Linked DNA regions of Xenopus tropicalis. The protein of the gene in region 2 interacts with the protein of the main gene of each other region in a pairwise test. Links are inferred from orthologs where the notes say so. Each region holds a gene or a part of one and is shown on either strand. Other genes may lie near its edges.

Region 1 (4,278 bases), on a different chromosome or scaffold from region 2:
GCATCATGTTTTAACAAATATTGGTATAATTTAACATTTTGACAATAAAAATATCAGCATGGTTTTTATTTGTTCCAAAATATTCTTTTTTGTTAATTTTGCTGCCTAATATTACTACGTGTTCTTCATTTTTTAAATTATGTATAACATTATGTGTAATTAAGTTTGGCCTAGTAACCGTTTGGCTTCACTCCTTGAAAAGAAGCATGTTTGAACTTGTACAGCATGGCAAGCCCCCAGCAATACAGATCCTTTGCATGATGTGTTTGTTTACCTAGTAAATGTAGTACTGGGCATACAAGGGTTCATTCACTACAACAGTTCTATACCAATTACATTTACGTATAGTCGCAAAATGGATTTCTCAGACACTTTGTTGGTGCAGGAATATAAGAAAGAAAATGTAAGTCCTAAATCATTTATTCACACTTGCTTTCTTTTATCTACTTGTTAGTAGTTGCTACTGTGTACATTGTGTATGCAGGGAGAGCTAAACTAAATAGTTAACTGCTTATGGTTTTGTGTCTGTAGTTACAGAAAAGGTTACAGAGAGTGTTTTCCACACAGCTTATGGGATGTAGTTATCAATAATTAAGGGGCAAATTTAACAAAGATTAGAGTGGGAATCTTGGAGGTTTCCTGCAGGATTCCCATATATTGATACTGTTTAGGATTTTTTGCAAAACCAATCAAACTGGCCTATTTATTCAATGGACCAATTTGATTGATTCAGACAAAATCAATGATTATCATTGTCCAAGCCTTCCGAAATTCACAATCTCAGACCACTAAAATAACAAGTGCTTTTATTTAATTTTTCAAGCAATACTTACAAAGGAATATAGAATTGGGGGTCCTAGGGATGCCAAATTATATTGTCAATATTGCTCTATTTTTGAACCTACAGCAGCTCTGATTCTTCACTAAAGACAGGTTGATACTTATTATTCCTAATAAGAATAATAATTTCAACCGGACAAAGTTGTATTATCAAATACAAATAAACTGATCCATTAGATCTCTATGCAGATAAATTGTCGAAGGAATTATTTCTCTTATTCTGTGCATTTTGTACACTTGCACCTGATTTTTCCTGTTAGGGTGATGGAAGGTCTTGTGGGGGGGGGGGGGGGCTAATATAAGTAAGGAGTATGGTGAAACCTCAAATTTTCACACCCTGATTTTAAGTTTTCCTTCATCTTCTACATCTTTTTTTTTTAAATCACTTTTCGCAAAACCTCAATTTTTTTGTAGTCCCACCAATATATAATGCATTTCCTTAATTTACATTTAAGGGATTTTACACAATTTTTTCTGTTTCCCCCATAAAATGCAATTTTACTGCAAACCTATTTAGCACTTTTTCTTGCATAAACCAATTTTGTTTATCCAGACTTGACCGTATGGAATGGGGCTGGGTCTAGGCTTTGGGCTAGTGAGGGCAAGAATGTGTGTTTACTAGAGGCAGCTTCCCTGGCAACAGCTCTGAGGAGGGAAGCCTAAAGAAAGTGCGGGAGTGTGCTCACAATGTGAATGGCAGGTTTGAAGATGCCGGGGGTGGACCTGTCACTGTAATACTTTCACAAACTGAAGCTGCTGCAGTGGCCACACCAGTCACCTAAATCATGGCTAACAAAAACCACGCCGGACACAGAAGGATAACAGAACTGCAGATCAAGGTACTCAGTGCATTCGAATTATAGAATCATGTTTTTCGTGATGCCTGTATGTTAATATCAGGGGTACAAAAGGGCTCACAAACAAAAGTAAACATTCTTAAAACATTTCTTAAACTCTTATCAGAAAGTACAAGGCAATTACTACAAGGGCCGAGCGGTTGCCTCAGTCCCCTGAGCAAGGTTAGAGTATTTCATTCGTTTGTAAAATGCGCTTTGAGCTTGCCATCCTGCAGCAGTACTCGGTTGTTATGGAGACAGGTTTGGCTGTATCTTCCCTTCCGGAACACGTTCTTATCCCTCTAGCTAGGAGGAGCGGGCTTTTCGGTTTTTTAACTCTTGATTTGCCCTCAAATTGCTGTTTAATCACAGAGAAATCCTGAGTACAGAAGAGGTTAGGCAGACAACTGGTGCTTGGTGCAGTTTCAGTAGCTTGCTGAAAAGTAGAGTCACTGCTGCCCCAATGTGCATTTGGTCACTTTATTTGTTTTATAATAATTGGTCATTTTTGTAAAATTGTCAAGGTAAATTGCATATTTATTGTACATCTTTTTATTATGATACTACATTGTTATATTGAAAGACTGCAATTCACTCCTACCAGGATTTGCCAGATGTTGCAATTACAGGATTCTGTTATGTTTCTAATGGATGTATACCTCTTTATGCCTGGTCCAGGGTTGCCAGATTTATTTTTCCAAACGTTAGTTCTAAAATCAGCCACTTTGAAAGTAGCTCAAAAATTACCCAACATGTGCCATGAAAAAAATTCTAAAAAAAATAAAAGTATATATGGGAAAACATGCCTTTTTAAAGTGTATAATCACTACCCAGTTGCTGGGAAGACTGATAATTCCCTGCCATCTGTGCCCAGCCCAGCTGGAAAGTATGTCACTATATCACTACAGAAATAGATTTCAAATGTTGCATTAACATATGGGTGTGTTATACTACAACTCTCAGAAGTCCCAAGATATCCTGAGAGTTATAGCTTTAGGGCCAACTGCAGAACTGCCCCCACATCATAGTAGAAAGTAATAGTACAATCACATACCCTACAGAGCAGGGAGCAGGTTGTAGCACAGACAGGTTGAGCCTGAAAGCAGGTTGAACCCTGGCCTGGTCTGTGCTTAGTACCTGATAAAGAGCACACTCTCATCACTGATTGGCAGGAGGGAGACAATTGATTCAATTCCAGCTCTGTCCAATGTGAAATATAAGCAGGTTTGCAAAGATTGGTAGTCAGTTCTTACATATCAACACAATGGAAGACATAAACACTAGATATAAATGAAATACAATTACATAACTGGACAAGTACATACATCCAAATATACCAGACCTCCCTTTTTAAATATAAAACAATAACAGTTTAGCACTGCCACTAAATAGTAGAAACTCACCAAGTGTGACATGGGGTCCAAGTGCTCAGATTCTAAGCTTGAAGGGTAACCAATGTCACAGAGTATAAACACTCACAGGGAGACCAATTAACAATATTTTGTTTAAAACATTTTATGATATATTTATCCTTTTATGTTTTTCGTACTCTTTTTTTTCTTTGCAATTCCTGGTCTCAATCTATGTGAGTGCCTCCTCTCTCTATATAAAAAGAGAGAGAAACAGAATCATTTTGAGTCCTTATAGGTCTTCTGTGGGCTCGAAACATTAATTTTGTTTCTCTGTACCTATATGTATAAAAATCCAATTTTAAACTATATTGGACTGCTGTATCCTGGAGGTTTGCATAGCAGTACCAATGTATGGGTCTTCCGTGGGCTTGAAACATTACTTATGTTTTTCTTTACCTATATGTATAAAAATCCAATTTTAAACTATATTGGACTGCTGTATCCTGGAGGTTTGCATAGCAGTACCAATGTATGGGTCTTCCGTGGGCTTGAAACATTACTTCTGTTTTTCTTTACCTATATGTATAAAAATCCAATTTAAACCTATATTGGACTGCTGTATTCTGGAGGTTTGCATAACAATACCAATGTATGGGGACACTGTTTCTAAGCTCTTATGATTTCCTGACAATGGACAGTACTGCTCTGCAAATTTTGTGAGAAATAAGGTTTTTAAATTTTGTTAACATTAATATTATTTATCCTTTAGATTGATGAGCTGCAAAAAACAAACCGAGGCCTAGAAAAGCATATTGAACAGCTACATGAAAGCAAGGAGGTTGCCAGTAATCAGGTGGATATCCTAACACGTAAGAATGAGCAGTTGTGTGAAGAGCTGACCGAAATAGACAAACTAGCAGAACAGCTTGAGAAAGACAAAGAGCAGCTTTTGGATGTTGCAGAAAAAGAACTGGAGGATGCAAAGGTGGATACACAAATTTTGTATTTAAAAAAAGCTGTAAAAAATGCTGTAAAAGACATGCATTGACTTGAAAATGCAGATATGGTGCCTTAAAATCAATGGGCCCGATTCACTAAAGTCCGAAATAAGGAGTGCTATTTATAGCATGCGTTAAAAATCTTATCACTTCTTATTTTTCACTCGATTCACTAAAAGGACACTTGTCATAATTAAGAAGCGATGTTCTTGCGTTAACGCGTGCTATAAATAGCACTCCTTATTTCAGACT
Region 2 (3,500 bases):
ACCCCTCCTCAAAATACTTTGGTACATTGCTGCAAAAAACAGTGTAGTAGTAAGAAGTGATCTTTTATAGTGCTTAAGTCCATATGAAAGAGGTCTATATGCACAAATAAGCAATTTGTCAAAACATCGTGAGATAAAAAGTAGGAGGATAAATTCACAACCTGTTTCCAATGTATGCGAGACAGGTCTTGGATACCCAGCAAATGGACTAATGCCTTTAATGGTCAATAAGGATACAGCTTGCAAAAACATGCATTCCTTTTTTTTCAGTTGTTTTTTTTTTTTTTTTGTCCACTGATGTCTCTACTATTGGTTTTTCCACCACCGCATTAAGGGTAGGGGTGCTATTTCCTTGCACTCTGATATTCTATGGAAGCATTTTGCAGCAATAGCAAGTATGTATGGGTTAAGTATGTGCCAGCTTTGTACTCAGATGACACAGATCAGATATCTGCCATAGATTCTCTATTGGATCAATATCCGTTCTTTAACTGAGCGTTGTTTCTCCCTCCCCTCATTACATCCTTCTGCTCTACATTAAATATGCAAAGTTTCTTTTGATGAAAATCAGGCCCACAGCAGGATTCTGCCACCAACAAACTTCACTTTAGGTATGGATCATCTTACAGTTGAGGGCTACATTTGTTGGCAAGTTACTAACTTGTAAAACCTATAGCTAATCTGCCTGGAAGAATGGCTGATGAATGGAACAGTGTACAAAACTGGCACCTACTTACCCACAAACACTTATGGGCAGATGTATCAGAATGTGAGATTAGAACTCACCAGAGAAAAATTCACACACTTTCTCTTCATTCCTATGGGATTTTCGTAAGTGCATCTATCAAGTGGTGAACTTTAACTTTCACCTATTAATCTAAAAATCACATAAAAATGAATAGAAAGTGTCTTAATTTTTCTTTGGTGAGCTCTAATCTCTCATTTTGATAAAATTGCCCCTTAGTGCTTTCTGTGCTGCAAAAAGTGGTTCTAACACATATTAATGTGTGGGGTTTTATTTTTTTCTCTGATATATATTTATAAATGAAAACAAAATTTTTAAAATGATGGAGCAAAATGTCTATATAGTCTGTTATAACCACATTGTGAAATAAATGATGCATTTTTTCAGTTTTCAGAAATCCTTTTAAAGATTGACGGATACATCAAAAAGCAACCAAAGGCTTCTGAAGGTATCATTTAAATCATGGCATTAACTCCAAAATTTCAAGCCAGAGTACCTAAAATATCTTCAAATAATTTTCATGTGGACTGTTAATAACAGAGACAAAGAGTTACCAACCGAAAAGGATTGCAATATAAAGAAACTCACATTGTATTGTGCTGTAGAGTGAAAGGCAGCTGCATGAGTTTGTGTGGCTTTAAGGGAAAGATATTATAATAATTCATGTTTTGGTGTGATGTTAATGGTTATTGAATGGGATGACTTATTCTGCCTCACTCATGCCTGAAATTTGAAATATCCATAACCCTGGTATACAAAACAGATTGATGTGGAGGCTAGACTTTAATTGGTATTTTATATTACATGTTTTATTACACATCTTTTCAAAAAAGTGTTCTTCGTTTTTAAATCTAAACTGCAGTTTTCCCAGTTATTAAAAAAGAGATGAATGATGGCAGACTGCAAATTATTGTATATTGCCAGTTCTTCATATAAAAAGGTATAGTTATAAATTGGCACAGTGGTTAATTTCATTACTTTCTCTATGAACTCATTGGTTTGGCATACTGCTGTGTTTCATTAAAGTGACACAAGTAAGAATTCTGGAAAATATAAGCATATTCAGACTAAATATGCCTGTGTTTGTTTTATGATTAGCTTCCCGAGGAGGCGTTTATGTAAATGAATGAATGCTGTTACTCATCGACCTTCCATTTAGCCCAGTGAAATTAGCAATATATGTGATCTATTGATGTAAACTGGTTCAAACAGCAACATTGCATATAGATTCTCAAACAGAAACAAAGCAAGAATGTAGTTTTGACTGCACTGGTAATTTGAATTTTATTCTGTTTCTATTTTTTTTAGTAATGGGCCCTGTTGAAGCTGCTCCAGAGTACAAAGTTATCGTTGATGCTAACAATCTGACTGTGGAGATTGAAAATGAGCTAAGTAAGTGCATCTGACTGTATTCTCCGTGTTGGTAGAAAGTGCAATGTTTCAATAATCTGAGGTGATGATTTAGTAAAATAAGTGCTACATTTATGTACAACCCTTTTGTATAGGAAACTGCAGATACTATGTTAGAACATCTATAGCACTTGTGTACAGTATATATGGGAGTGTACGCTCTTAAAACCTATATTATATCTTCTTAGATATCATTCACAAATTTATTCGGGACAAATATTCCAAGAGGTTTCCTGAGCTGGAGTCCTTAGTTCCTAATGCTTTGGATTATATAAGGACTGTGAAGGTAGGTGATTTGTGTGCATGAGGATACTAAGTGGTTAGTTTGTGTGTCTTTCAGTAAGGGGGATTGTATTTTGTGCATGTGTGTATATAGTTATGGTATAATGGTGATGTCTGGATACACAGTGTGTAGTATAACAGTATGTAGGAACATACACTGAATAGAGAAGGTAATTTGTATAAAGATTTATTAAGCTGGACCCAAACTTTTCTTAAAATGTTAAATGAAAAATGTATGAACCATAAACATATATGGGGTACATGAAGTGACAATAAACTTAGCATTAGGTGACATCAGTAAACTACTTATGGCACCACTTTATGAACTTTCACATTTATTTTTCTTCAGTTTTTAGGTTAGCTTGGGGCCTAACAAAATCATCAGTATTGTGTGGGTTTCCCCTAGGTACTTTGCTTTCTTTTAATACTGCAAAGACATACAAGGAGGGTAATTGGTTCCTGATAAAATTGACCCTACTATGCCTGAAACTTATAGGGACCTTAGACTGGGACTGATGAGAATGTATATTATCTCTGTAAAGTGCTGCTGAATATGTTTACGCTATATAAATATCAAAAATAATAACATCTTATTTGGGTGTTGTAGGAGCTAGGGAACAATCTGGATAAATGCAAAAACAATGAGAATCTTCAGCAAATTCTGACCAATGCAACTATCATGGTTGTAAGTGTGACAGCCTCCACAACTCAGGGGTAAGTTCATATATCTGTTACTATACTATAACTTTTTCAGTGTTTGGGATGAAAATAAGAAGTAAGTTCCTCTGATCTACACAGGCAGCAATTAACAGATGAAGAACTGGAACGAATTGAAGAAGCGTGTGATATGGCGCTAGAACTCAACCAATCCAAACACAGAATTTATGAGTATGTGGAATCTCGTATGTCATTCATTGCTCCTAACCTCTCCATCATTGTCGGGGCCTCCACTGCTGCCAAGATCATGGGTAAAGTGTCATAGTGTTTGTTTTTATTTTAGCCAAGATTGTTTTATATCTTCACTCTTCTGCACAAAAAAATCTGTTCTGTAAACCATTGGCAG
Region 3 (4,169 bases), on a different chromosome or scaffold from region 2:
GCTTTGAGCGGGACAGTCCCGCTTTTTATAGCGCATCCCGCTGTCCCGGATAGTTCCCTGAATGTCCCGCAATTCCGTAATAGATTACGGAAATGCGGGACATTCATAGAGCGATCCGCGATAGCGGGATGAGAGGGCTTAAGCTGAGCGCTCCGACTGTGTATGAAGGGCACTGTGTATGGGGGGCTCTGTGTATGGGGGGCTCTGTGTATGAAGGGCACTGTGTATGGGGGGCTTTGTGTATGAAGGGTACTGTGTATGGGGGGCACTGTGTATGGGGGGGCACTGTGTATGGGGGGCTCTGTGTATAAAGGGTACTGTGTATGGGGGGAACTGTGTATGGGGGGTTCTGTGTATGAAGGGCACTGTGTATAAAGGGTACTGTGTATGGGGTCACTGTGTATGGGGGGCTCTGTGTATGAAGGGCACTGTGTATGAAGGGCACTGTGTATGGGGGGGCTCTGTGTATAAAGGGTACTGTGTATGGGGGGCTCTGTGTATGAGGGGTACTGTCTGGGGGAAATTGGAGGCACTGTCTATGGGGTAAAGTGGGGGCACTTTCTATGGGGGGTACTGTCTATGGGGGACCTGGGGGGCACTGTGTATGGGGGGTACTGTCTCCCCTGTGTGGGGGGGCAAAACTGGTAGATAGTTATAACTCACTTATAACTGACTGCCTTCTCTCTATATTTGTATTTTATATGTAGGAGTTGCTATTTTGTTTTCCTTAGGTAGTACAGTATAAGGGTATAGCACAAAGGAGTATTTTTAGAAAAACATGGGGTGTGTTAATTGGGACGTGGCCACAAAATTGCCGCGCTGCGTGCGCCAAATCTTTTTGTCCCTCTTTTCGTTTTTCAAATGTTGGGAGGTATGCAGATGGGCGGGGCCAGTGGGGTTTTTGTGGAATTTCTCAATAAATCAGTCAGAAACACAACATTTTTAAGCATAATCCTTCTATATCTAGAGGAGTATAATTCACTGGTACATTCATAATTTGTATAGGATAAAAGGCAATCATGTAGTTTAAGACCTAGATTTGTGGGAAGGCTCAGGCCCGAGGTTGGCATGCTGCCAGGGCCAAGTCTGCACTAATAACTAGTGACTGGTAATTATCTTTATCACTTTATTAACCTCAATTAAAATTAGCACCAAGCTTCATTTTTACTGCAAAGGGGACTATGTTCGGCGTCTTTTTCTTCGAAAAAATGCATATTCTTAGTTTTATCTATTAGAAGTCAAGCAAAAGATGCGTCATTTTAGTTTCAATGTTTTTTTTATTATGCGCTTCGCTTCAGAGCTTAGTTTCTGCTTATACAACCGGAGAAGAGAAAGCGATGTAACTGTGCCGGAAGTTTACAAGCTTTTCCTTACCGGAAGTGGCGCTCTGGTGCAACGCTGTCACAGTCTCGTCCTGCTACAGCAGACTCGCGGTGTTGGGTCCGCCGAAAATGGAGTCGATCAGGAACCTGGCGGAAAATCTAAGAGTAGTGCTGGGGAAGCTTCGAGGTGATTACAAAGACAGTCACTCACCTGTACACTTTTAAGGTCTCGACAGTGTGACACCAGCTGGGTTTTACTTGTTGCTGCGTTATATGAAAGTGGGAGTTGTAGGTCGACAGCATTACATTGCGCAGCCGGAGTCAATTATGAAGCAGAGCAGAAAGATTGGCTTCCCTAGTTGAGGGAGTGTATTCACATATATAAGGGATGTCAACATTGAAACCAAATATTAAGTACATTTTCACCTTGGCATATTGTTCCGATGTATATATGCTGGAGGCGGCATTGGTAGCACTATATATCTGAATTAAAAGGGATTAACGCTTATAGAGTGTATTAACCCTTAATTATATTCTGAGAATTGTAGTCTAACAACATATAGGGACGTTAGAAACACACTGTCCAAATAGTAAAGTTGGAGGGGTTGAATTGGTCATTTTTCTTCAGGAATTCATTTCATGACCTATGTTGTATGTATGGCAAGGGCTGTAAATGAACTCGATCCATCTGATCTGACCGGGTAAAAATACCAAAACTCTATTCAAGCTTATGCAAAATCCTGGTTTAATTATAAAAGAGGCTAATTATGATATTATAATAATAATAATCCCTTAAGGGACAGCCAGAATTTCATGGGGGCAGTTAGATATTGAATTTAGATTCTCTTTAATGAATATGTCTGTTTTGTTGGGAATATATGATGTATGAGCCTATGGTGAATATAAGGATAGATCTCAGGTCCAGACTAAGGGGCTGATTTACTAATCCACGTATCCGAAAAATTTGGATTGGAAAACAAACATTTTGCGGCTTTTTCATATTTTTTGCGACTTTTTCGTATTTTTTGCGACTTTTTCGTAGCCGTTACGACTTTTGTGAATTATCGCGACTTTTTCATAGCCATTATGACTTTCGTGAATTGTCGCGACTTTTTCATAGCCATTATGACTTTTGTGAATTATTGCGCCTTTTTCATAGCCATTATGACTTTCGTGAATTGTCGCGACTTTTTCATAGCCATTATGACTTTCGTGAATTGTCGCAACTTTTTCATAGCCATTATGACTTTTTTGAATTATCGCGACTTTTTCATAGCCATTATGACTTTTGTGAATTGTTGCGACTTTTTCATAGCCATTACGACTTTCGTGAATTGTCGCGACTTTTTCATAGCCATTACGACTTCGTATTGAGCGCTCAAAAAAGTCGCAAAATACCGATCATTACGAAACAAACGCATTCGGACGCTTTTCGGACGTTCGTGGATTAGTAAATGTGCCCCTAAGAGTGAGACTGAGTGCTCTTGCCTTGTTTCTGTAGATGGAGAACCCAGAGAGAGTGAGAAATTCAATGCACAGCATTTCTGGGGAACACTGGGTAAGTAACTGACACAAGGCTTGTAACGTTATGATGGAATAAAAAACAGAAATTGTCTGCTAGGAATTTTCCATTTGTTATGTAGTGCCTGTACATGATTGGTTGAAGTAGCTTTGTACAGTGTGACACAGGGATGCGCCTTCTGCTTTAGTTTAAGTTTATAGAGAGAGTAAATGCTTTTTCTTTTGTGTACAGAGGGCACTGCACTCTAGAAAGGCAGCAGAATTATATATCTACTGCCTCTGTCATTGACTGTCTGTAGGAGCCTTCTGCTATCAGCAGTAGGCTGCGAGGTGTGGTTCTGTATCATCTCCAGAACATCTGTTCAACATTTATTCCCTGTAAACACTGACACATTCCACAAGTGTCTTACACAAAAAAAAAATACACATTATGATATATTTTCCAGTGCTTAGGGAATCGCTGCAGATAATGCAAATGACAAGGTCATTACTTATTGCACTGAAAGTAAGTTTAATTTACACGTGCTTGGGGGAAGGGGTCGGGTGGGTGGCGGGGTCATTCTGGTCAAAAAAGATGAATTAAATGTCCCCTTGATCTCCTGGCATGCACCTGGGAAGGCGAACTTGTTGGAAATCCTCTTTAAGGGTTTGTGAGCCTTAAAAAAAAAAAAATGCAAAAAGTTCCTGTAACTGTACAGGAAAATCTCCTTGACTTACAGTTACAGGAACTGACCAGCAGGTGGTGCTGCTGTTACAAAATTCATTATATTGGTAGGTAATAAAAACTTCTGAAACTGAAAGAAAGAAATAATTAATGTAAATTGCAAAAGTGCTTAAAAAAAGCACCACTTATTTTTTTAATATTCTTATACTCTTATTCTTCAAGATCTTTGAGTCCCCCAAAGTATAGAAGTGAGGAAATTGCTATATACATATTATTTGTGTCTCTTACAGTTATTTCCTATATTTTTCATAGGACATTCAATTAAAGCAACATCTCAAGAAGCGACAAAGCTGAGTTTGGCTTTTTTGAAACCACCTCTGCCTTCAGAAGAGGTAAGTGATATCCCATACAGACAAACGGTCTATGTGAAATCTTTATTCAGGATAACACATAACTTATTTCACCCTATTTCCCTTACCCCAGGGCAGCCAGAAGCTATGTGATGGACTTCTCAATGCTATCTTAGCAGATGCCACTGTGTACTATTCTCTCCCAAAGGAACAAGGTGAGAAGCAGTGTCCTGGACTAGTATCTGGTACGGTGTGATTTCTCAGCAGTCCGTATATTCAAGGTTTATCAGCCATTCTTTGGTAATTTGTATG
Region 4 (3,500 bases), on a different chromosome or scaffold from region 2:
CCTCCTCACACGCTCGCATTCAAGACTTTGCAAGGTCTGCCCCCCTTCTCTGGAATTCGCTCCCACAAACTGTCAGACTTTCTCCCAATCTCTCTGCCTTCAAGAGATCTCTAAAAACACATTTATTCAGAGAAGCTTACCCTAATCTAGTTTAGCAACACCCTGTGCCACACCTCTCACAACTCTGGTAATGCCCATTCCCACACCTTGAGTCTTAACCCTTCTCCTTGTAGATTGCAAGCTCTTTTGGGCAGGGCCCTCTTCACCTCTTGTATCGGTTATTGATTGCTTTATATGTTACTCTGTATGTCCAATGTATGTAACCCACTTATTGTACAGCGCTGCGGAATATGTTGGCGCTTTATAAATAAATGTTAATGTAATGTAATGTAAGAACATCATGCAAGCACTTGGCATTCAGTTGTCACTTGGAAATATGCAGACTTTGTTTCCAAGTGTCAGTCACTTGCACAAGCTTTCATGTGATGCCACATTTTAATACATGCGTTACTTGACCTTAATATTTGTACTAACACAGATTCTTTGAAGGCAGGTAGAATTTTATAAACCCTGCAGCAAAATAAACTTTTAATATGAAAATTCAACTGTACTGAATTCAGTGTTAATGTTATTTTTAATTATTCATAGCATCAAATGTAGCGGAAAGATTGTTTGTATATTTCTCCAAGTCAAGGTTTTAATGGATTAAAATAATTCAATTTAAAGTAAAAAATGCATTCTTTTGGCCTTGTGGTTTACTTTTTCTATTTTATTTTTGTTTGTCAGTCAATACCTTAATGCCCAACATATTTGCCTGCTCCTACTTACATATGCTTCAATGGTGCACAGTTTGATATTGCTTAAAGAGTATGAAGAAGCTTATACTGTACCTGCTTGATGCGAGAGGCCTGTTGGCGGTCTGCGTTATTTGCCAGTTTCAGATATTCAGCCACATTGTCATCTCTTGCTTCCTGCTCAATTTTGATCTGCTCTGTGATTTTTAGGATCTTCTGATGCAGATGATCCATGGCTGCCTTTGTGCGTTGAGGGTCAGGTGCTCCCTCTGGGACTTCCAGGCTGATGTTTCCCTCTGAGCCTCCATGAACTGTGCTGGGGGGCAGCCCTAGGGTGCTCAGATCCCCTTTGTCGAGTTGTTGCTGATTAAAAGAAGGGGCAAGTCAGAAACAAAATACAAGTTACATAAACAATATAAAATAAAATCTATGACAGTTAATACAATTAATATTCCACAGCGATGTGCTAAGAACATACACCTTCGTATTAGCCCCATGCCCAGTAAAATTTACAATATAAATCTCTGTCACATATACACACTATGATCAGGAGCCAATAAACCCTTCTGTATGTTTTTGGGAGAGGAAACTGGAATACCCAGATCAAACCCTCACAAGTACAAAAAAAACATCCAAACTGATTGCAGATAGCTAACTGACATCGAACCACAGTGCTGCAAGGCAGCAGCTCTTAACACTGGACTACTGAGTACATTTAACATCACATCCAGATCCAATAAACAAAGAATGCTTCTGTAATAACTCCTACAGTTGTGCCCGTAGATGCTTGTTGTGCCAGTCCACACTCTGATGCTTTACATTCTGTTAGTGCCCACCCACCACTGGGTCTATGAATGATTGTTAACTTTTATAATGTGATGCTCTCACACTGATATGTTGGGGCAATTAAACTTTCCCTTTAAGTCCTTCCACTATTTTCTACTTTAGTGAAACACTTAATCTGCCAGGTATGCGCCTCATCTCATTACCCATAAGAAGCAGTATTACAGTGCAGATTTGCATATGCATAGTTTTTAATATCCCACTACTTGCAAAACCTGATGCTTACAGAACAGTAAAAGCAGCTGGACTGCTGTGGCATAGCATAAAAACAATGTAAAGGCATATTTAGATTTGAATGCATGTCAAAATGATATAACCTAATAGCCACCTGAATTTTTACAAGTGACAAAAGATTTCAGATAATGTTTTAAAGTGATACCTATTAGGTGAAATTGGAGGGGGTGGCCTGTGGCAGAATGATGAAAAAAATATGTGGTGGTCAAACCTCTTGCAAACCAACAAATTCAAAGCTATCACACTACCTGGCTTAGTGTTTTCTTCATGTGCATGCCACATTTTGTCATTATTCGTCAGATAGCAGCTTTGCAGCGAGGGTGTTTAAGTCAACACTGGGGTTACTGAACTAAAACCATAAGTAATGTGCAGAAAGACAGAAAAACAGTGAGCTGAGGAAATTATTGCAAATTTTAGTGACACTCGGAAATAAGGGCTGATGTTTCTAAACTTCCCCTTTTTGCCCTGTCCTGAACTGAGGAGCATGGATTGGTGAATAACAACCTATATTACCCCCGTCCCTCGTGTAACACAAAAAGCCACAGTCTTGGTTAACTTAAATCTGTTTTTAGCAAATGCCCTATTTTTGTCTAAGAAACCAACCTACAGAATAAAATCAGGCAAGCTTTTATGCAAAAACATAGATTAAACAAATTATTTGCATCCTCCACTATTTCTGTGTTAAACATCGTTTTTTTTTCTTTATTAATAGCAACTGTTCAACAGTCCCTGCACCAGTGGAGCTTACAATCTAAGCTACCTATCACATTCACCAATTTACCTGCCTGTATGTTTCTGTAAACATTCATCCACCCATGGCATGGTTTGAAAAAATACAGGTTACATGCCACATAAACTGATGGCTAATAATAAATAATAGTAATAGATGTGCCAGTTTGTCTACCACTGCCATAGACAAGCACATTACCACATTTAAAGTTTTGACAGAGATTTGCTGTGTTAATCACTGTATAACCTCAAATATACCTTCTATATAAGGTGATAACGTCAAAGATAAATCAATTTTTGCTAAGCCTGTGGCCTGCGCCTCTCCATACTTACACTCACTCCTAGCAGAGTGTTTACAAGTTGCATCCTCCCACTTGCAGGCTCAGTTGGGTAAATTTCAGTTAACTGGACATCTAAAGGGTTGGTACACAGGGCCTGTCCTAGTACCATTACAAAAGGCAACTCATCCTCTCCTTCCCTCATTTTGACATCCGTATCAAGGAAGTAGCAGAGAAATAACAGAATATTGGTGCAGCAGAGTAACAGGAATAGCTGGGAGAGTAAGAGTGGGAGGGAAGTGACTAAGGATATCAGTATAAAGAGAGCTGCAGAGAGAGAGAGAAAGGGAATGATAGACTAAAGGGGGATTAAAAAATAATTAGGGTATACAGTATAGAATAAAGTATGGAGGACATTATGTAGGCACAAAAGAAGCTGTAAGTAATAATAAATACAACAGGAAAGAGGGAACGCAAAGGAAAATGAATGAGAGGACAGGAAAGGAACAAATAGACATAAAACATGGATCAAGCTGACCAAAGCTTAAAGTACAATTTGGTTATGTATGGAATGGCTAAGGGAAAGCTAAAGGAAGAAGGGTGCACCTACAGTAAATGCAGC
Region 5 (4,071 bases), on a different chromosome or scaffold from region 2:
ATTTTTACGCGCTTGGGGAAGGACGTTGGATGGGGGGCCCTGCGAGGGGGGTTGGGGCGAAGCTATACATTGTCTAATTTCTTTTAGGTTCTGTGCAATAAAAAATATCTTGTGTGCACATTTTTAGAAACAAATACTTGAGTGAGTGGGTCAGAAAAGTAATTTGTGTTTTCACTCAGATTTGTGCACCAAAATTTAGCCCTGGGAACACTATTGGGGAGTTCCTAAAGGCCCCAGAATGGAACAACTTGTTTAGGCCAATGACCCCCCCCTTTTTTTGTAACGTTTGTTTTTATTGATTTTTTACATGTTTCATTATCACATTTGTTTTCAAATTTTACATGCGTAACATTTTGTATATTAGGCACATTATCAGGCTTAATGTCCTTGTGATTGTTCAGAGTTATAGTATACAACAAAAAAGGAGAGGTGGGAAGGAGGAGGAAGGAGGAGGAAGGGTGAGGAAGGGGGAAAAGGGTGAGGGGGGGGGAAAGAGGAACAGTATAACAATTTACGCCCTAGGTCTCCATATTAAGTTAAACATTGTTAATAGGTTCAGTGTTTCCTTCACTTATTTATTGTTTTTAGATTGTTTACGGGAGTCCTACCCATAGCCTTGTGTTTGAGAGAGGGTCTTTATTTAGTATCCAGGTATCCCATATCTTTAGGTATAGCTGTTAATTTTCCAGTTGGTATTTAAGAGCTTTGATGGCGTGTATATATTCTGTTTTGTCCAGGACTTTCTTGATAGATAGCGAGTTCGCTTTCCATTGGGCTGCAATATGAATCCTAGTTGCCATGCATATATGTTGTGTGAGGTGTTGTGCGGGGTTGTTAAGGTTTAAAGTTTGTGTCTTAAGAGCATAATACTTTGTGGCATGGGGGAATGGTGTTAGGGTCACTGGGGAGTGCCCAAGAATCTGGCAGCCCCCAGTATTTTAAGATTCTTTCTCCATTGAGAACAAGGGACGGTTCAAAGGAAAAATGTACAAACCAGAGACTATAGCCGAAAATAAAGAAGAGGTGACAGCTCTGCCCAACAAATCAATGGGATAAACGATAACAAATACAATTGTGCACTAACACCGATTTACTCGTAGTTATAGTTAGTATTATAAAATTCATTCCTTTATACAGACTAGCACGTCTCTAAACTGATAATTATTAAGTTGCTTCTTTACAGAGAATAAGAAATTTGCCAAGAGTTGGCCAGGCAGGAGGCGGGGCTACATTGCGCTCCCTGTTGCTATAGGCTGCCAGCTGTGGGAGTGCTTTGCTATTGGACGCTGCACCCTTCCTGCACACTCGGGATCCCAGAGGGGCGGCTGTGTGCGAGTTATAGCGGGGCCTCGTTGTTCCTTGTGAAGCTGAATAAGCATGGAGCCGGCAGCAGGAGTGAAGGTGAGGTGGCTGCGTACACCTGCTCCCCATTCTGTGTAGCTGAGCTGTGAGAGTGCGAGTTGGTCGCACGTTGTGTCACTGTCGCTGCGTTTCTGCCTTTCGCGCCACCTTCACACGCTCGCTGCCCATTCATCAGATGTTCGCGGTGCATTTCGGGATATGAGCAGAGCGGCGGCTCCGGGTTACACTCTGCGCCTTGTTTCTATACTGATATACAGTTATATAAAGTTATATACAGCTATATACAGTTGTTATATACAGCGCTGGGAGCGCATTACCGCCCTGCCGCCTGCGTTATACCGAGTGCACTGCGGCTGGCGGGGGCTTCTGGGAGTTGTGTGGTTTCATGTTGTGGATTTCGTCAAAGACCTGGAAAATACTAGAGATGCAACTAAAGTGTTAATCACCTACCTTATAAATGTATTCTTATTTTTAGGACAAAAACTACTCAGGGGAGGAGGGAATTCCGCTGGCAGAATGTTACTGGCCCCACTGCTTGGGCATTGCTGCCTGGGCCGCTCTTATAGGAGATATGGGGGGGGGGGGGGGTCCCTAAAACTTCCTCACATGGGAGCGCACACCCTGTGCCCACAAGCCTGGTTCGAAACATAAACATGAAATAAATACAATAAGAATGGCCCCCTTACCACTGACATTGATTCATGCAGTGTAGTTACCATCAAGTACAAGGTGCTGTTTTATTTCTAGAGAAAAGGGAATCATTTTTAAAATGCTTAAATTTGACTATGGGAGGAATCTGGAGCTTTCTGGGCAAACAATGGAGTGAAAGCGGCGGGGGCGTAGGCACTGGTGGTTCGGGGGGCGTAGGCACTGGTGGTTCGGGGGGCGTAGGCACTGGTGGTTAAGGGGCCGCATTAACGAGCCGATGTGGTTCTCGATCTGACAGAAGAATCAAATCTGTGTGATGGAGACGTGGCTGATCTCAGGCCAGATGTTGGTTGGTGCCCATACAGGGGCAGGTAGGTCCAAAGGACCGCTATAGGCAGCTGAAATGGGCCTGTGTATGGCCACCGTTACACACCAGGGCTGTTACAGGATGGACACGCAACCCTGCATTTTCTATTAGTTTGTACACCGTGGAATGCAAGAAAACAACAAAAACAAATTTGTGTTTCACCTACACTTTGTGCCCACGCACCAGTGAGTACAAACTAATAGCAAATTTTGCATTTCTTCCTGTTCCAGCGCAGGGGACTGCAGGTAAGAACACTTGTGTAAGAGCCGTAGGACTGTTCATATCCCTTGGCTGCAATTACTCTAGCCCCCTGATCCATTTTGCTTCTCTCTGAAGCAAGGACATATCCCATTTTCCTCCCCATGTGGGTTTACCCACCACTTCTAAAGCTGGCCATACACACACCGATAATATCATACGAAACCTCGTTTCGTACGATATTCGGTGCGTGTATGGCAAGTCGTTGAGTTGACCGATATGGCAGGAGGCTGCTGATATCAGACGATTCGCCGATCGGCCAGTTAAAAGATTTTGATCGGGCGCCATAGAAGACACCTGACCAAAATCTGCCGTCAGGGCTGAATCGGCAGAAGGAGGTAGAAATCCTATTGTTTCTACCTCCTTATCTGCCTGTTTCAGCCCTGAAGGTTAGTGGCGGATCTGACAATCTTTCAATTGTGGCCACCTTAATAATAAAATATTTTACCCATCAGAGGTGCGGGCTAACAGACTGACTCCGGGAAGAGGAAAACAGTATGCTTTTTTTTTTTTTCCCCAAAAAAGCCCCTTAGTTACACTGGAAGGCCACGTTGGGGCACAAGTATGCGCATAGTGAGTGAATGCCCCAGCTTGCTCATCATGTGCTTTTGGTTCATGTAGGATTGGTTGATGTTTTCCCCATTTAGAAAATTAAGCTGCCTGTCAATAATTTGTGGTAACCTCGGTTTTCTATATGTGAGCATAAAAATGGCCCTTTGTAAGGCACTGGGGCCATTACCATAGCAGTTGATTGCTATTTTATATACACTATTCTGCCTAGCTATGTAAACTGAATTACCTATGCCCCACCACCAACTAGTAACTGGGTTACCTATGCCCCACCACCAACTAGTAACTGGGTTACCTATGCCCCACCACCAACTAGTAACTGGGTTACCTATGCCCCACCACCAACTAGTAACTGGGTTACCTATGCCCCACCACCAACTAGTAACTGGGTTACCTATGCCCCACCACCAACTAGTAACTGGGTTACCTATGCCCCACCACCAACTAGTAACTGGGTTACCTATGCCCCACCACCAACTAGTAACTGAGTTACCTATGCCCCACCACCAGCTAGTAACTGAGTTACCAATGCCCCACCACCAGCTAGTAACTGAGTTACCAATGCCCCACCACCAGCTAGTAACTGAGTTACCAATGCCCCACCACCAGCTAGTAACTGAGTTACCAATGCCCCACCACCAGCTAGTAACTGAGTTACCAATGCCCCACCACCAGCTAGTAACTGAGTTACCAATGCCCCACCACCAGCTAGTAACTGGGTTACCTATGCCCCACCACCAACTAGTAACTGAGTTTAGCACTCTTCTTAGGGTGAAGAGCTACTAGTAGCAGCTACTTGTCACAGCTACTAAAAAAGACAATGCTGCTCATTTACTGATAACGGTCTCTACCTGTGTTTTAGCAGA
Region 6 (4,269 bases), on a different chromosome or scaffold from region 2:
GTGTAGGAGACAGTGATTTATGATAGGTTGGGGGGGTCCCACAATTTGGTAGAGATTTAGGGGTGTATTGGTTATATGGGGGCAGAAATTAGTTGAGGGTGCCCTTTGTGTAGGAGACAGTGATTTATGATAGGTTGGGGGGGTCCCACAATTTGGTAGAGATTTAGGGGTGTATTGGTTATATGGGGGCAGAAATTAGTTGAGGGTGCCCTTTGTGTAGGAGACAGGGATTTATGATAGGTTGGGGGGGTCCCACAATTTGGTAGAGATTTAGGGGTGTATTGGTTATATGGGGGCAGAAATTAGTTGAGGGTGCCCTTTGTGTAGGAGACAGTGATTTATGATAGGTTGGGGGGGTCCCACAATTTGGTAGAGATTTAGGGGTGTATTGGTTATATGGGGGCAGAAATTAGTTGAGGGTGCCCTTTGTGTAGGAGACAGGGATTTATGATAGGTTGGGGGGGTCCCACAATTTGGTAGAGATTTAGGGGTGTATTGGTTATATGGGGGCAGAAATTAGTTGAGGGTGCCCTTTGTGTAGGAGACAGGGATTTATGATAGGTTGGGGGGGTCCCACAATTTGGTAGAGATTTAGGGGTGTATTGGTTATATGGGGGCAGATATTCAGGGAGGGTGCCCTTTGTGTAGGAGACAGGGATGTAGGAATAGTTGGGGGGTCTGTAGTTTGGTAGAGATTTAGGGGTGTATTGGTTATATGGGGGCAGATATTCAGGGAGGGTGCCCTTTGTGTAGGAGACAGGGATGTAGGGAGGGTTGGGGGGTCTGTAGTTTGGTAGAGATTTAGGGGTGTATTGGTTATATGGGGGCAGATATTCAGGGAGGGTGCCCTTTGTGTAGGAGACAGGGATGTAGGAATAGTTGGGGGGTCTGTAGTTTGGTAGAGAGTTGAAGAAGGTACTATGGGGGCAGTAATTTGGGGGGGGGCAGGGGGTTCTATGGGGAAGCAGGGGGTTAGTAGTGGGGTAACATGGGAACTGAGATTGTGTGAGGATTGGCTGTGGGTATCAGGCATTAGAGTAGAATTGGGGCAGAAGGTACAGGGGGGGTTAGTTCCTATCCGGGCAGTGGAAGGAAGACATAGGGTAGCGGTATAACGGGTAACGGGACTGTATGTGGGAGAGTTCGGTACCGACTGCAGCAGAACATCGCAGGGGCCCCGGCTTGGGCTCCGCACCCACAGCGGCTCAGTAACGTACTCCCGGCCCCTCCCGCACTGTCCCAGCCCCGCCCATTCAGTCAGTCCCAGCTCCGCCCATTCAGCACCACAGACAGCGACCAACGGGGAGACTCGCTAAATATTAATGAGCCTGTCACTTACTCCTTCCCACCATTGGTTGGGAACAGACAAGGGGCGTGTGTATGGGCGGGGTTGGCGGAGGAATTTGCTTGTTCCCCGCCCAAGGGAGGGAAGCGGTGGGTTGGCGCAGCCGTTTGTTTTTAAGGAGACGTGAGTGGGCTGCTGGGTCAGTCGGAGCCGGGCGGGCTGAGAGGAGGCTGTGTGGGAGCCGCACGCTGTGGGTACGGGGAGGGCAGTGACAGTGACTCTCTGTGGCGGAACTTCGCTCTGACAGGGATCCCTACGGGCTGCTCTATTGCCCCTGCCGCGGACTATTTCCAACCCCTTTGGGTCGCCCGGACTGGCCCTCGGATTCCCGCTGGATTCTCCGGAGTATTAACCCCCCTACCCCCGTATGGAGAAGTATCTCCCGCAGCTCCTGGCTGAGAAGGACGCGCTGGATCCGTCATTCACTCACGCACTCAGGATGGTGAAGGAAGGTAGGAACTATTGCCCCCCCCGGGGTATTATATTGTTATATTATGGGGGACACTTGCACTGGGGGTGACCTCTGGGGTATATTTATCCTGTGGGGTACAGAATGCAGTGCGATTCCCCCCCCGGGTATATTTTACTGGAACTGCCCCACTGGGGTACATTCATTCCTACCCTCTGCCCAGGAACAGCCCCCCTGTACTCTACTGCCCCCCCAAGGGAACTCATGCACTGTAACTGCCCCACTGGGGTACATTCATTCCTACCCTCTGCCCAGGAACAGCCCCCCTGTACTCTACTGCCCCCCCCATGGGAACTCATGCACTGGAACTGCCCCGCTGGGGTACATTCATTCCTACCCTCTGCCCAGGAACAGCCCCCCTGTACTCTACTGCCCCCCCATGGGAACTCATGCACTGGAACTGCCCCACTGGGGTACATTCATTCCTGCCCTCTGCCCAGGAACAGCCCCCCTGTACTCTACTGCCCCCCCATGGGAACTCATGCACTGGAACTGCCCCACTGGGGTACATTCATTCCTGCCCTCTGCCCAGGAACAGCCCCCCTGTACTCTACTGCCCCCCCATGGGAACTCATGCACTGGAACTGCCCCGCTGGGGTACATTCATTCCTGCCCTCTGCCCAGGAACAGCCCCCCTGTACTCTACTGCCCCCCCATGGGAACTCATGCACTGGAACTGCCCCACTGGGGTACATTCATTCCTACCATCTGCCTTGGGACAGCCCCCCTGTACTCTACTGCCCCCCCATGGGAACTCATGCACTGTCACTGCCCCACTGGGGTACATTCATTCCTGCCCTCTGCCCAGGGACAGCTCCCCAGTACTTTATTACCCCCCCCCCAAGGGAACTCATGCACTGGAACTGCCCCACTGGGGTACATTCATTCCTACCATCTGCCTTGGGACAGCCCCCCTGTACTCTACTGCCCCCCAAGGGAACTCATGCACTGAAACTGCCCCGCTGGGGTACATTCATTCCTGCCCTCTGCCCAGGGACAGCCCCCCTGTACTCTACTGCCCCCCCAAGGGAACTCATGCACTGGAACTGCCCCACTGGGGTACATTCATTCCTACCCTCTGCCCAGGGACAGCCTCCTTGTACTCTACTGCCCCCCCAAAGGGAATTAATTCACTGAAACTGCCCCACTAGGATACATTCATTCCTACCCTCTGCCCAGGGACAAACCCCCTGTACTCTACTGCCCCCCATGGGAACTCATGCACTGGAACTGCCCCACTGGGGTACATTCATTCCTACCCTCTGCCCAGGGACAGCCTCCTTGTACTCTACTGCCCCCCCAAGGGAACTCATTCACTGGAAGTGCTTCCCTGAGACATATCATCTCTTCCTCCTCTCCTAAAATTGGTCCTACTCAGTAAAGTACCCTCACCATCATCTATCCATCTATCTATCTATCTATCTATCTATCTATCTATCTATCTATCTATCTATCTATCTATCTATCTAATCTACCTATCCATCCATCTCTGAAGAATAAGGTAAATCAATGTTCATTCTCCAAAGCACATTCACCTTAACAACCTCCTATGGAACATGTCCCTCAGCTTCCCAAACAGTCATGTTAAGAACCCCCAAGCCCTTTATACTAAGAATTCACCCCCCAATGTACAATACCACCCAAGGATTTTACCTCTACCCTCAAGTCAAAGCTGCTCATACTCCGGGGACTGCGCTCCCTAAAGCTCCCCTATAACCTTATCCTCTCTAGGGAACTCATCTCTCAACCTCTTCCAAAAATCACAATGCTTGGGGCAGGGGGGGCTCTCTCTTCTTGATGGCCAGGATTATATCTAGAAAGTCTTTTTGTTTTAAGAGCAACCCCTTGGCTAAACTTAGTGATGGGATTGGGTAGAAGGACTGGAATCTTGAAATCTAAATTGCTCTTTTGGAGAGGGTGGGGGGGTAATATGTTTCCAGGCTCTGCTTTCACTCTGGTTGGGGTGGGTACATAGGATAACGTCTCTGAAATGCAAAAAAATCACATTGTGGTATTGGTACCTGACCTAAATCTGTCATTACCTGTTCTAGGGGGAAGCTATGGATTTGAACTACTATAGCTCCCTCTGGGGGTCTTGTACTTAGAATGCTCTTGGTGGTGGTGGGGGGCTGCGTTCTAAAACTACACTCACTCCACCTTCTAATGTATCTATAGCATATTGTAGCTCGCCCCGAGTCCCTCTGGGAAGATCCAACGCCAGCTGTTTCCCTCATGTTAATTCTATTGAGATCCGCTGTATCTCACAATAGGTGCCACATATATAGCATTCTCCGTCTCTCTCTAAGAGACCGTGGCAGTCACACCTACAGAGCAGTCTCCATCTCTCTATTTCGGTGGAAGAGAGCCCACCCCAAGGTATTGTCATCGCTTTATTTTTACCCTGGTTTCAGTATAGGAATCCTCAGGGTAGGACAACATGCAGCCCCGGGAAAGG
Region 7 (3,500 bases), on a different chromosome or scaffold from region 2:
TCAAGTTGCGCCTGTGAGGGTAGAGGTGGCACGTGAGTAATACATGGACTCCCTTGCACTAGTGTTAGGCTTATGCCTCCAGCAGCAAAGGTGAGCAAATTGGTCCAAAATGCTAGTATAACTGTAGGATCACGTACATGGTGTATGGTATTTTTAGAAGCACAGTTCTCCCTGTGTCTAATCGCAAATAAGCATTGGGTCAGCAACACTGACCGGACAACACCCATGGCAAACAACTGAATCTGCCCTACCACACGCAACTGTATCATTCACAAATCAGCAGCTTTAGCCAGCCTCCCACAGCTTTTACTGATTTGAGGGACATCTCTGGCATCCTAAGGTGTTTAGAAGTTTGGGAAACCTGCATGATGTATACCGTATGGAGCATGGAGTGCTGCCAATGTTTGTGTCTGCTGCTTTGTGTCAGTTAACGCCTTAACTTTGTACGTATTAACATGTGTTCTTAAAATGGTGTTGGCTTGTTTTTTTTTATCTTTTTTCTTGTATATGAGCCGTTTGTTCACTATCTTTTTGCTTCTAGAATATAACAGCAATAACAAGGCAGGCTCAGATTGTATTAAAAATGCATATTGTTTGAGTAGGAATATATTTACTTACCTATTCAGTCCCTCTATTATACTATTATCTCTTTTTAAACCACTGCCCTGTTGCTATGGAAAATAAGACCCTAGCAACCAGAAAGGTGCTATAATACCAAACTGAAGAGGTGTGAAATTAAAGCTAAAGAAAAAATAAATACGAAGACAGATTGCAAACTGTCTCAGAATATTATTGTTACATCATACTAAATGTTAATTTAAAGGTAAACAGCCCTTTTAAATAGAAACATAATTTTAGTGATAGTTCTCTGCCTGGAAAATCTCCTTCTAACTACTACTGACAGTAATATATAGCGTTTTACACGTATTTAGTGTAAAGAGTCATTTTCTTAAATACAGGGCCAGTATGATTTTTATTTCAGCTTGTAATGAAATCATTTGTGGCTATTTTATGCTTAAGTATGGAAAATGAGAACATGACTAGGGCTATTAATTATTGAGAGTGGTCATGCAAGGTAAGAATTAACAGTGCTATGTATAACACAGACATCTACAGGGATGAGTTGCATATTAACCTGTTATATATTAATGATTAATATGTTTGCAGATTTAAAGGAATTCTTAAAAAAAATATTCAGAATTCATCAGTGTAAAATTGATATAATCTACATTTCCCCCTGCAGGTATGCCTATGGCATCATCAGCTATAAGACCAGCCCATGCTTCTACTAGTTTTTTTGACACAACCACCTCCTCCGTGTTCCCATCTTATTTTCCCCAACCTTTGCATGACATACCCAGTACAACAGCAACACAGAATGCCCCAGGTTTCAGGGCAGCAGAGACAGGATTCTCAAACAGCAGTGGGTTGTGGGACATGCAACATTTGGTCAGACCTGTGAATGGAAATGTCCATGGAGATGCTTCCTCTGGATCTTCTGGGTACCAGTCTGCTAGCAAACTCACAGGTAATGGCACATGTGATTGGTTGCTTTCTCTGATCATTCTTCATATACAGTTATCTCCACAAAACAAACAGGGTCCACAGGGATTTAAAGGAAATCTATACCACCAAACAATATAGGTCTCTATAAAAATATATTGCATAAACAAGCTCATATGTACAACCCTGCTTCATCTAAATAAACCATTTTCAGAAAAATATAAATTTTTAGTAGCATGTGCTATTGGGTTATCCTAAATTGAAAATTGCCATTTTAGGAATTAAGGGCCCCTCCTGGGATCATAGGATTCACAGTGCACACAAACAAGCCAAGGCACACATACATGCTAGGCCCCATCAGCCAATGAATGGACAGAGTTCTGCCTTTTGCTCCCACACTTCTTCCTGTTACAGTCAGAGCTGCGTTATTTCTGGTGATGTGATCTCTGAGGGAACACACAGCCCATCACAAAATGGTGGATCAAGGAAAGGATGTAAAAGGGCACTATTTACTGATATATTTATATTCCAGTTTGGTGAGATTCTTTAATAGGTCACTTATCACAATATAAAATTAAGTATTCATTTTGGGGGTATAGTTTTCCTTTAATTCCTGTTTAAAGCTGATTCATTATAAAGCTAACAATCTTTCGAGGAAAATATATCAAGATAGCAATGCTTATGTAGTAAGTTTACATGGCTGATTTTCCAAATTTCCTCATCTTCTTTGGGTGATAATAGGCTCGGATCTATTGGAGGAACATCTTGCTGAAATCCGAAACCTCCGTCAAAGCCTGGAGGAATCCATCCACATGAATGATCGCCTGAGGGCACAGCTAGAAGACAAGCTCACAGCTGCAACTAAAGGGAGTGGTAAGGAAGAAATGAGAAGACAGCACTTGTGTCTCTGCTAGGGAAACATTCTGTGATGTTTGGCAAATTGTATGATATGTGTCCCAGTTACTGCATGTGTGCTGTGAGGCTTATATGTATCTCAGTCGGGATGCAATAGCTATGCTGATATGCTTTCTAAATACTCTAAAGCAGTCATCCCCAACCAGTGGCTCAGGAGCAACATGTTGCTCACCAACCCCTTGGATGTTGCTCCCAGTGGCCTCAAAGCAGGTTCTTATTTTTGATTTCCTTGCTTGGAGGAGGATTTTGGTTGCATTAAAAAATAGGTACACTGCCAAACAGAGCCTCCTGTAGGCTGCCAGACTTCATAGGGGCCACCAAATAGCCAATCACAGCCCTTATTTAGCACCCCCAGGAACATTTTTCATGTTTGTGTTGCTCCCCAATATTTACATTTTAATGTGGCTAACGAAGAAAAAGGTTGGGGATTCCCGCTAGAGTATAAGAGTGAATTAGAGGCTGCACAGTGCTCCAGAAGATAGGAGTATATAATACACCTCCCCTGTAATTGAATAGTAACTGCTGAAAAAGGAATATGCACAATATAAACCAATTTTAACTCTATTTCAATATATTCACATTTGCTACATGTTGTGGATAGGGTTTTTATTAGAAACAACTGCATTTTCCCCTGCATTCCATCATAATCTTTTGTTTATGTTCCAGGTCCCCCCACTAATATTTACATCCATGGTTTGGAGTCACTGCCCCAACTGTCCAATGAGAACAGAGCACTCAGGGAAGAGAACCTCAGTTTACAAGTCCGAATCAATCAGATCTCCAGAGGTAAGGGATTTCCTGTGTGTTTGGGGGGACAACTGGCAACATCCTTTGAAAAATAAAAATGAAAGCAATAGTAGCAGGCACATTTATGCTGATACAGAGTATCGGCTGTGTACCCTAACTGTAGGTACAACAACATATATTCTGAATCAGAGCATTATATTTAAATACTGTCATTAGGGCACATATAGTTTAACGTCCCTAAATATCAGTCTCTTAATAGGTGTGCATAATGGAGCACAACAGCACAATTGTGCAGGTATAAAGTAGAAGCCTTGGTCTTGATATTTTCCTGAGAG

The links.
Region 1: the proteins of prpf31 (region 2) and tsga10 interact in binary tests that used the Homo sapiens proteins (3 or more experiments, as listed by UniProt). The two-hybrid records come from large-scale screens. The link is inferred for Xenopus tropicalis from reciprocal best matches to the Homo sapiens genes PRPF31 and TSGA10.
Region 3: the proteins of prpf31 (region 2) and ccndbp1 interact in binary tests that used the Homo sapiens proteins (3 or more experiments, as listed by UniProt). The two-hybrid records come from large-scale screens. The link is inferred for Xenopus tropicalis from reciprocal best matches to the Homo sapiens genes PRPF31 and CCNDBP1.
Region 4: the proteins of prpf31 (region 2) and tmcc2 interact in a two-hybrid assay, tested with the Homo sapiens proteins (2 studies listed by BioGRID). The two-hybrid records come from large-scale screens. The link is inferred for Xenopus tropicalis from reciprocal best matches to the Homo sapiens genes PRPF31 and TMCC2.
Region 5: the proteins of prpf31 (region 2) and cdca7l interact in binary tests that used the Homo sapiens proteins (3 or more experiments, as listed by UniProt). The two-hybrid records come from large-scale screens. The link is inferred for Xenopus tropicalis from reciprocal best matches to the Homo sapiens genes PRPF31 and CDCA7L.
Region 6: the proteins of prpf31 (region 2) and khdrbs3 interact in binary tests that used the Homo sapiens proteins (3 or more experiments, as listed by UniProt). The two-hybrid records come from large-scale screens. The link is inferred for Xenopus tropicalis from reciprocal best matches to the Homo sapiens genes PRPF31 and KHDRBS3.
Region 7: the proteins of prpf31 (region 2) and pde4dip interact in binary tests that used the Homo sapiens proteins (3 or more experiments, as listed by UniProt). The two-hybrid records come from large-scale screens. The link is inferred for Xenopus tropicalis from reciprocal best matches to the Homo sapiens genes PRPF31 and PDE4DIP.

Annotation. Positions count from the first base shown.
Region 1 is NC_030678.2:112,840,046-112,844,323, forward strand, and holds the start of tsga10 (testis-specific gene 10 protein), read left to right. Parts: upstream 1-1,478; 5' UTR 1,479-1,625; coding exon 1,626-1,679; intron 1,680-3,797; coding exon 3,798-4,013; intron 4,014-4,278. UniProt on the Homo sapiens protein: Plays a role in spermatogenesis. When overexpressed, prevents nuclear localization of HIF1A.
Region 2 is NC_030683.2:104,952,575-104,956,074, reverse strand, and holds part of prpf31 (U4/U6 small nuclear ribonucleoprotein Prp31), read left to right. Parts: intron 1-1,132; coding exon 1,133-1,193; intron 1,194-2,053; coding exon 2,054-2,137; intron 2,138-2,343; coding exon 2,344-2,441; intron 2,442-3,044; coding exon 3,045-3,151; intron 3,152-3,235; coding exon 3,236-3,405; intron 3,406-3,500. UniProt on the Homo sapiens protein: Involved in pre-mRNA splicing as component of the spliceosome. Required for the assembly of the U4/U5/U6 tri-snRNP complex, one of the building blocks of the spliceosome.
Region 3 is NC_030686.2:18,727,218-18,731,386, forward strand, and holds the start of ccndbp1 (cyclin-D1-binding protein 1), read left to right. Parts: upstream 1-1,369; 5' UTR 1,370-1,451; coding exon 1,452-1,509; intron 1,510-2,823; coding exon 2,824-2,880; intron 2,881-3,819; coding exon 3,820-3,899; intron 3,900-3,990; coding exon 3,991-4,072; intron 4,073-4,169. UniProt on the Homo sapiens protein: May negatively regulate cell cycle progression. May act at least in part via inhibition of the cyclin-D1/CDK4 complex, thereby preventing phosphorylation of RB1 and blocking E2F-dependent transcription.
Region 4 is NC_030678.2:72,958,888-72,962,387, reverse strand, and holds part of tmcc2 (transmembrane and coiled-coil domains protein 2), read right to left. Parts: intron 3,250-3,500; exon of another isoform or gene 3,084-3,249; coding exon of another isoform or gene 2,934-3,083; intron 1,158-2,933; coding exon 891-1,157; intron 1-890.
Region 5 is NC_030682.2:39,660,410-39,664,480, reverse strand, and holds the start of cdca7l (cell division cycle-associated 7-like protein), read left to right. Parts: upstream 1-1,271; 5' UTR 1,272-1,377; coding exon 1,378-1,401; intron 1,402-4,071. UniProt on the Homo sapiens protein: Plays a role in transcriptional regulation as a repressor that inhibits monoamine oxidase A (MAOA) activity and gene expression by binding to the promoter.
Region 6 is NC_030682.2:144,623,310-144,627,578, forward strand, and holds the start of khdrbs3 (KH domain-containing, RNA-binding, signal transduction-associated protein 3), read left to right. Parts: upstream 1-1,469; 5' UTR 1,470-1,712; coding exon 1,713-1,797; intron 1,798-4,269. UniProt on the Homo sapiens protein: RNA-binding protein that plays a role in the regulation of alternative splicing and influences mRNA splice site selection and exon inclusion. Binds preferentially to the 5'-[AU]UAAA-3' motif in vitro.
Region 7 is NC_030680.2:118,189,242-118,192,741, forward strand, and holds part of pde4dip (myomegalin), read left to right. Parts: intron 1-1,243; coding exon 1,244-1,528; intron 1,529-2,244; coding exon 2,245-2,376; intron 2,377-3,084; coding exon 3,085-3,204; intron 3,205-3,500. UniProt on the Homo sapiens protein: Functions as an anchor sequestering components of the cAMP-dependent pathway to Golgi and/or centrosomes.